Linked DNA regions of Rattus norvegicus. The protein of the gene in region 1 purifies or fractionates together with the protein of each later gene. This does not show direct contact. Links are inferred from orthologs where the notes say so. Each region holds a gene or a part of one and is shown on either strand. Other genes may lie near its edges.

The links. Proteins that work in one complex are often made in the same cells at the same time.
Region 2: the proteins of Cct4 (region 1) and Tle2 purify together in Homo sapiens (affinity purification with mass spectrometry; 3 studies listed by BioGRID and IntAct, with this or other methods). This does not show direct contact. The link is inferred for Rattus norvegicus from reciprocal best matches to the Homo sapiens genes CCT4 and TLE2.

The regions. Positions count from the first base shown.
Region 1 is NC_086032.1:101,196,044-101,199,696, reverse strand, and holds part of Cct4 (T-complex protein 1 subunit delta), read right to left. Parts: exon of another isoform or gene 2,949-3,653; coding exon 2,859-2,948; exon of another isoform or gene 2,417-2,858; coding exon 2,308-2,416; exon of another isoform or gene 2,000-2,307; intron 1,643-1,999; coding exon 1,500-1,642; intron 1-1,499. UniProt on the Homo sapiens protein: Component of the chaperonin-containing T-complex (TRiC), a molecular chaperone complex that assists the folding of actin, tubulin and other proteins upon ATP hydrolysis.
Region 2 is NC_086025.1:8,779,448-8,783,100, forward strand, and holds part of Tle2 (transducin-like enhancer protein 2), read right to left. Parts: intron 3,479-3,653; coding exon 3,416-3,478; intron 1,136-3,415; coding exon 1,061-1,135; intron 932-1,060; coding exon 748-931; intron 517-747; coding exon 497-516; intron 1-496.

The DNA.
Region 1 (3,653 bases):
TCTCTCCAGCCCAAAAAAAGTGCTCTTACTTAAAGATCGCTGGATTCGGGGCTGGGGATTTAGCTCAGTGGTAGAGCGCTTACCTAGGAAGCGCAAGGCCCTGGGTTCGGTCCCCAGCTCCGGAAAAAAAGAACCAAAAAGAAGAAAAAAAAAAAAAAAAAAAAAGATCGCTGGATTCAGAGTCCAGAGTACTAACCATTATTATACCATGGAACCTACATGTTTCTAATACCATTTAGGTTATTTAGAGACAGAGCCTCACCATGTAGCCCTGGCTTGCCTGGAACTTACTATGTATTACCAGAGGAAAGGAATGCAAGAAAAAAGATTTGTTACTGGATGAAATCATAATAGAACAGATGGTAACATAAAACTTTTTTCTTTTTCTTTCTTTCTTTCTTTTTTTTTGGAGCTGAGGACATAACCCAGGGCCTTGTGCTTACAAGCGCTCTACCACTGAGCTAAATCCCCAACCCCAACATAAAACTTTTTATAGTTTTGTTTACAAACTTCTAAAAAAATTCATCTGTACGGATATTCTGCCAGCCTGTATGTCTGTGCACCATGTTTGTGCCTGGCACCTAGGGAAGTCTGAAAAGGGCGGTGGGAGTCTTGGAACTGAAGTTACACGTTGTTCTGAGTAGCCACACAGATGCTGAGAATTGAACCCAGATCCTCTGGAGAAATAGCAAGTACTCTTAACTGTTAGGAAATCTCATCAGTCCCTAATTTTACATTTTTATTATTTCACCTGAATTTTCCCAAGAAATTTGTATCCCCACTACTTTAAATCTCGCAAATAAGAACAGCAGTACATGTGTCACGAGCTGATTAGTGGATGGGCAATCCATACTGAGCTCAAATACCAGTTTCATCTTCTTCGTGTGCCATGCGTGTGCCGTTGAGTTTCTATGTTTACTCCCCCCATTCTATGGGGATGGCTATATAAAATCCTGAGGACAGCAGATGTAGAAAACTTTCCACATTTTCACATATTAAATAAAAACCTATATTGACAGAAATTCTATGACAGCCTTGGATTTTGGCAGTGAAAAAGTTCCCAACTTAAAAGCCCAGTTTTTGCTTTACCAACAAGTGTTAAGATGCAGTAAATGAAAAAATACAAATGGATACTGCACCTATGAAAATCTCTTAATTCTTTTTGCTTTGTTTCCCCCCTCCCAGGACAGGGTTTCTCTGTACAGCCCTGGTTTTCCTTCAACTCATTTGTAGACCAGCTGGCCTCAAACTCAGAGATCTGTCTGCCTGCTGCGCCTGCTGATAGCTAGTGTCAAAGGTGTGTACGACCATGTCCAGCTAAAACTCCTTATTCTTGTTAGCCTTACTGATCATTTTACCTCAATCTTAAAACAAGTCCATTCCAGAAATGATTACTAGTCTTGTTGAGGCAGTGTTAGATACAGTTTAGCAAATCAATGCTCACAGCATCACAACACACCATCATCTGTAATTCAATTCTCCCTCAATGGTTGTCTCACCTTTGAGTTCAATGAAGTGGTTGCACTATTTAACAAGGTTTCTCTGTCGCTCAGTTGCACAGGCCGAGACATGTCGGTAAGGATTTCAAGACCCTTTTCCAAAGCTTTCTGGAATGACTCGGAAATGATGGTTGGATGTATACCTGCCATTTATGAACCAGGTTAATTACAAACTACTTATTTATCATTAAAGTGTTTTACTCATTAAAATGACAGAGTAATCTAATACTTTCTTTCCCTTTTTTCTGTTGTGGTGCTGAGGCTGATCCCAGGGCCTCCGGCAATAAAAGGCAGATACTAAGCAATACCAGAGGCTCCAAATGCTCACCACACAAACTAATTTACAATTCAGTTGTAGGCAGAGCGGCTTAAATGAGTGCTTATTACGGTTAAGAGCTAACTTTTCAATCTGAAACCGGTGAAGTACATTTTCATGCAGTATTAAAGCTAAAACCAATTTAATGCTTTCTAAAACACTGAATACATTTATTTACTTTAAGGCGGAACTGGAGAGTTGCTGTGATGAACACTACGTATGAAAGCAAGAGCTCGTCTCACCTAAGGCATCTCTCCACGCCTGAGATTAGTAACAGTGCCATCATTTATTTTTGAAAAGCAGAATTCTATTTATTTCTACAAAAAGAAGCCTTGCAAAAGTAAGAAGCAAATAGAAATCCTTGACAAAAGAGTAGTCACTTCAAATTAAATCCCATATTACTTAATAGCTTGGCTTTTTATGTTTGCCTTTAAAAAAATATTTCTGTCTTTCTTCAGTAATAAAAAGTATTTTATCTTATATTCTACCTACCTTTCTGCAGAAGCTTGGTACAGGAGTCTAAGAGAGAGCCAGCAATGATGACGACCGACGTGGTGCCATCCCCTGCTTCTATGTCTTGAGCTTTGGACAGTTCCACCAGCTATGTGAACAGAACATGCCAAGATGCTAAGAAATGAGAACCCAGTAACATCTAACTCAAAACACTTGTTTTCTAAGAACTGTCAACGTAGCTCAGTAGTGTATAGTTCTTGGTGAGCTTGCATGATGCCATGGATTCAGTCCATAGCAAAAACCAAAAAAGCAAAATGAAAAAGCCCCCAAGCTCTCTTATAGAACACCTCACACCCAGAGAACAGTATCTTAGAAATGTACGTTTTTAGCATAAAGATAAAGGATTCTCCAGTTTAAATAGTATCAAAGTTAACTCTATTGAGTATCATACAAGTACACTTGACAGCACATGCCCACGAATATAATCCCCAGCACTCAGGATGAAGCTGGCTGGCTGCCAAGTCCAAGGGTACACAGTGCGTACCAGGTCACTGGGCTACTGACCGAGATCGTGTCTCCTGTACACTTACCATTCTGGCTGCTGGGTGTAATACTTGCATTTGTTTCAGAATGGTGGCACCATCATTGGTAATGGTCACATCGCCTTTTCCGTCTTGAATCTGGAACGTTGGTTTTTTAAAACTTTAATGCAGTATTCTACCAGCTCTATTCCATTTACTATTACATACAACTTAGTTTATTATGTATGCTGCTTAACTTAATATTCATTCATTAGTAAACCAGTAAAAACATTCAGAACAACTCAACTTTGTAAAGTAAGTGACTGGCTCTGCCTGGGTAGCTTGATCACATTTAAGTGTGTGTATATACATAACTGAGCACAGTGCTCAGAGACCAGGAGTATCAGACCCTCTATCTAGTGATGGAAACGCAGCCTGGGCCCCTGTAGAAGCAGTATGCGTCCATCTCTCTGGCCCCTGCTCACTCAGGGTATGTAAAGTAGTCTGGAGGTAAAGCTCATTCAGGAAAGTGCCTACTGCTCAAGCATGAGGACCTCGGCTCAGATCCCCCAAATTCCTTGGCTAGCCATATTGGTCTGTCTCCGGCTTGGTTGCTAACTAGCTCTCAATCTTAGGACGCACCAATCCAAATTAGACTCTATCTGCTTTACACTGCCAGTTAGTTAAGAAAAAAAGTTTAAATAGTTGAACTGGGCGCAGCGGCTCACACTTGTACTCCTAGCATTCCAGAAGCTGAGGCACAGCGGTAAGCTCAGGTTTCAAAATAAATGAACAGTCAAACGTGCTAGCACAGCCTGTGACCCCAGCACTTCAAGCAGAAGCAAGAGGACCAAGGGACAGTCT
Region 2 (3,653 bases), on another chromosome or scaffold:
GTCCTATTGTACAGATGGGAAAACTGAGTCCTATGAAAATGCATCACAGAGAGACCTGTAATCCACGGAAAATCCATGGCCAACCCCTTGAGAGTGGGGGATGGGAGCTCTCAGCTAAGCAAAACGTCTGTCTGCATGAGGAGCCAAGCAGGTCTTGCTGGCGTACACCCATTATAGCAGAATTTAAGACACTGAGGCAGAAGAATTGTCCTAAATTCAATGCAGTATGGGCTATAAAACAAGGCCATGCCTCAAATTAAATACACCACAGCTGGCTTGGCGGTTCTAATGTCACAATCCAAGAAGCAGGAGGATCTCTGTGAGTGAGGCCCTGTTCATAAAGTAACAGCTCACATCTCGTTCACCAGGCCCTGTACACTGGATGTGGTGGCACTGGTGTCCTCACAGCGCCCAGGTGGTGAAGGCTGGGGACAGGCAGCACCCCCAGTCCCCTAGCCTACTTAAAGACAAGCAAGTTCTCATGGCTGGCACTCACCCTGCTGGCAGCTCTGTCCACTGCAGACGCAGGAAGCCAGAAGGAAACATGATTAGGGGTTTGTAACCATGCAAGGCTTCGGCGAGTGAAACAGCTCCTTCCTGGTCAGAGCCTGACCTCCCACATCCCAGGGAGATGCCTCTGCAGAGACAGCTAGTGTGTTCCCAAGGACAAACAGCATGAAAATCGAACCCCACAGCTGCAGCCCTACTAGCTGTCCCCCTCCCGCCAGCGCTGAGTTGCTAACTCACCTCTGGACCCCTCGGTGTCCACACCCACACGGTCTTCCTTAACAGCAGCCACCAGCTGGGCCTGCGCAGCCAGCGCCCCAGAGAGGGCCAGCAGCCCAGTGGCCCCGGCACCCACCAGGCCAGCTGGGCGTGGGGTGAGAGGCACAGGGGGTGCATGGGACAGCGGCTGGAGCTGATTCTGCTGCTGAAGGGGGAGAGGATTGCCAGGGGGAGGCGGGTGGCGGGGACAGGGTACACGGAGGGTGAATGCTGTACCCACTGGGTGCCTGGGCTGGGAGCAGGGTGTCTCCAATTATGGGCTGGGGTGACTCACCCCCAAGAGGTTGTTCAGTTCCCCCACGGTCACCTGCTTGGCTCGGTCCACAGCCTGGAGCACCTGCTGCTGATGCTAGTGGGGAAGCGGAAGGCAGGCACTGAGCAGCAGGCCGTGCAGTCTGTCTGTTTGTCTGTCTGTCTATGTGTGCCTCTGCGTGTGGAGACACGGCGGGTGCTACTGCCATCTCCCACCTTATTTTGCGGTGGGTCTCCCGGCCCAGCTGTAATCTGTCCAGTAACCCCAGGATCTCCTGTCCCTGTCTCCCCTGCTGCAGTTACAGAGGAGAAACACCACACCTGGTTGGTTCTTCTGGTTGCTGGAGATTTGAACTCAGGTCCTCATGCTTGTGGGCCACCTTCCCCAGCCCCTCTCTGACTGTTTAACTGACAGTTCAGAGACCTGGCCTCTTCCCCAGGCCCTGGGGCCACAGTTCCAGTGCTTTGTGGAGCTTACTGGACCCTGAAGGCTGCTGGGCAGTGTTCCAGCCTCTAACCACTTGCTAGGAGGTCCATGTAACACCACGGTCTGTCCGCATAGACAGTGTAATGAATAACCACTCACATACAAAATAAAATACCTGCATTCCAAGCACCTACATGCCAAGTGCTCACATACCAAGCACCTACATGCCAAGTGCTCACATACCAAGCACCTACATGCCAAGTGCTCACATACCAAGCACCTACATGCCAAGTGCCCACATACCGAGCACCTACATGCCAAGTACCCACATACTAAGTACCTACATGCCAAGTACCCACATACTAAGCACCCACCTCAGAATGTGCAACCTGGGGCTGGGCATACAGGTCAGGGGAAGACCCACCCAGCGTGTATATCCCCAGCACAACATTAAATATGGATGGAGTCAATAAATTTGAACACACATGTCTGGTGGCTCTACTCAGGTTGGTAGCTGGCCTCACTGTGATATGATCTGTCACCCACTCTCAGGGGAAAGGCAGCAGGTCCCACAGAAGAAAGCTGAGGATTCTGGCCATGTGGGGCACCCAGCATGCCCACCCTGAGGTGGGACCTGCCGTGTCTCTGGAGGAACATCACATAGAAGTGGGAATGGCTAACACCAAGGTCCTGTGGTCAGCAGGAGTGAGGAATTGCTCACACAAAGTTTTCTGATGTTTAGCCTCTGCCTGTGCTGATTCTGTGTTTTCAAAATCACTGTCCTAAAAATGCCTAACAAAACTTGCTAATCAGAGCCATTTCAAGCACACGACCGGCTCAGGCTCAGTGACATGAAACTCATTCACAGGGCTGTGTGGCCTTCCCCACCACCCACCTCTGGAACTTCCCAACCCCCCACTTCCTGGCCCTGGATCTGATAATTTCAGAGTCCTTGGGAAAGGAAACCTGCATATTGTCCCGTGTGTGGCCCAACTCACCAAGCATCACCCTGTAAGATTAGTCCCATAATTGCTCACCTAACTCTCAGGATACCCTAACCAGGACATAAGCACAGAGAGGCATGTATCTTGCCCAAGAGCACAAAGCCAGGCCTTGTACCAGCAGCCCTGGCTGCAGGAGGCTACAAGATGTAAGCCATGGGTACAGGGGCACCCCTAGCTAGCACCATCGAGAGCAGAGAGCCAGGCTTAGAGAAATGGCTGAATCAGTAAAGTACTTGTCATGCAAGCATAGGGACCTGAGTTTGATTCTCCAGAAACCCTGAAGAAAGCCAGGCATGGTAGTGTGTGTCTATAATTCTAGCACCTGTGAGGAGACAGGAAGATCCTGGGACTCACTGACTGGACAGCATTGCCAACTTGGCAAAGTTCCAGGCCAGTCAGAGTCCCTGCCTAGTTAAAGGACGGGATAGCAAGGTGTGTGAGCATGTGAAAGCATTGTGGCCTAGCCAACAACAAGCCACAGAGTGAGAGGAGAGGGCCAGTTCCTGCAAGTTGACCTCTGACCTCCATATGTGTGCTATGGCCCTTGTACCTCCTCCCAAAAAATAAATTATAGGTTGGCTCAGTGGCTAAGAGCTCTGGTTGCTCTCTCAAAGGAACAGGGTTCGATTCCTGGCTCACAAGCCGTCACAACTCCAATTCCAGAGGACACAGTGCACTCTTCCGGCCTCTGCGGGTACTGCACACATGGTGTACAGCTACGCAGACAAAACACCCATACATATAAAATTAAATAAGTGCATAAAAGTGTAATAAAAGCAAATGAAGGTGGATGGCACCTCGGGAGGCACACTGAGGCTGACTTCTGGCCTAGTTATGAGTGCACACATGAACATAGGAAGGGCAGAAAGTCCCCTGGTCCTCACCCCAGCCGGTGTCTCCCCAGGCCTGGGACGCCCTCCCTGCCCCCAAGGCTCTATGCACTTACCTCCTGAGTGAGGAATGGGACCATCTGGGCACAGATTGCACTGAGGCGCTTCACGATCTCAGCCTGAGAGAGAAGTAACAAGCTGCAGCAAGCTGGATGGGCTGGGAGGGGGACAGCCACCTCCATCATCCAGACCCCAGCTGGACTGAGCATCTGTGGAGCTGACTAGCTCGGGGGTCCTTGAGGCTGAGGTCCTGCAAGTCTGTGACACCTCCCCACCACCCTAGGAATCCCTCAG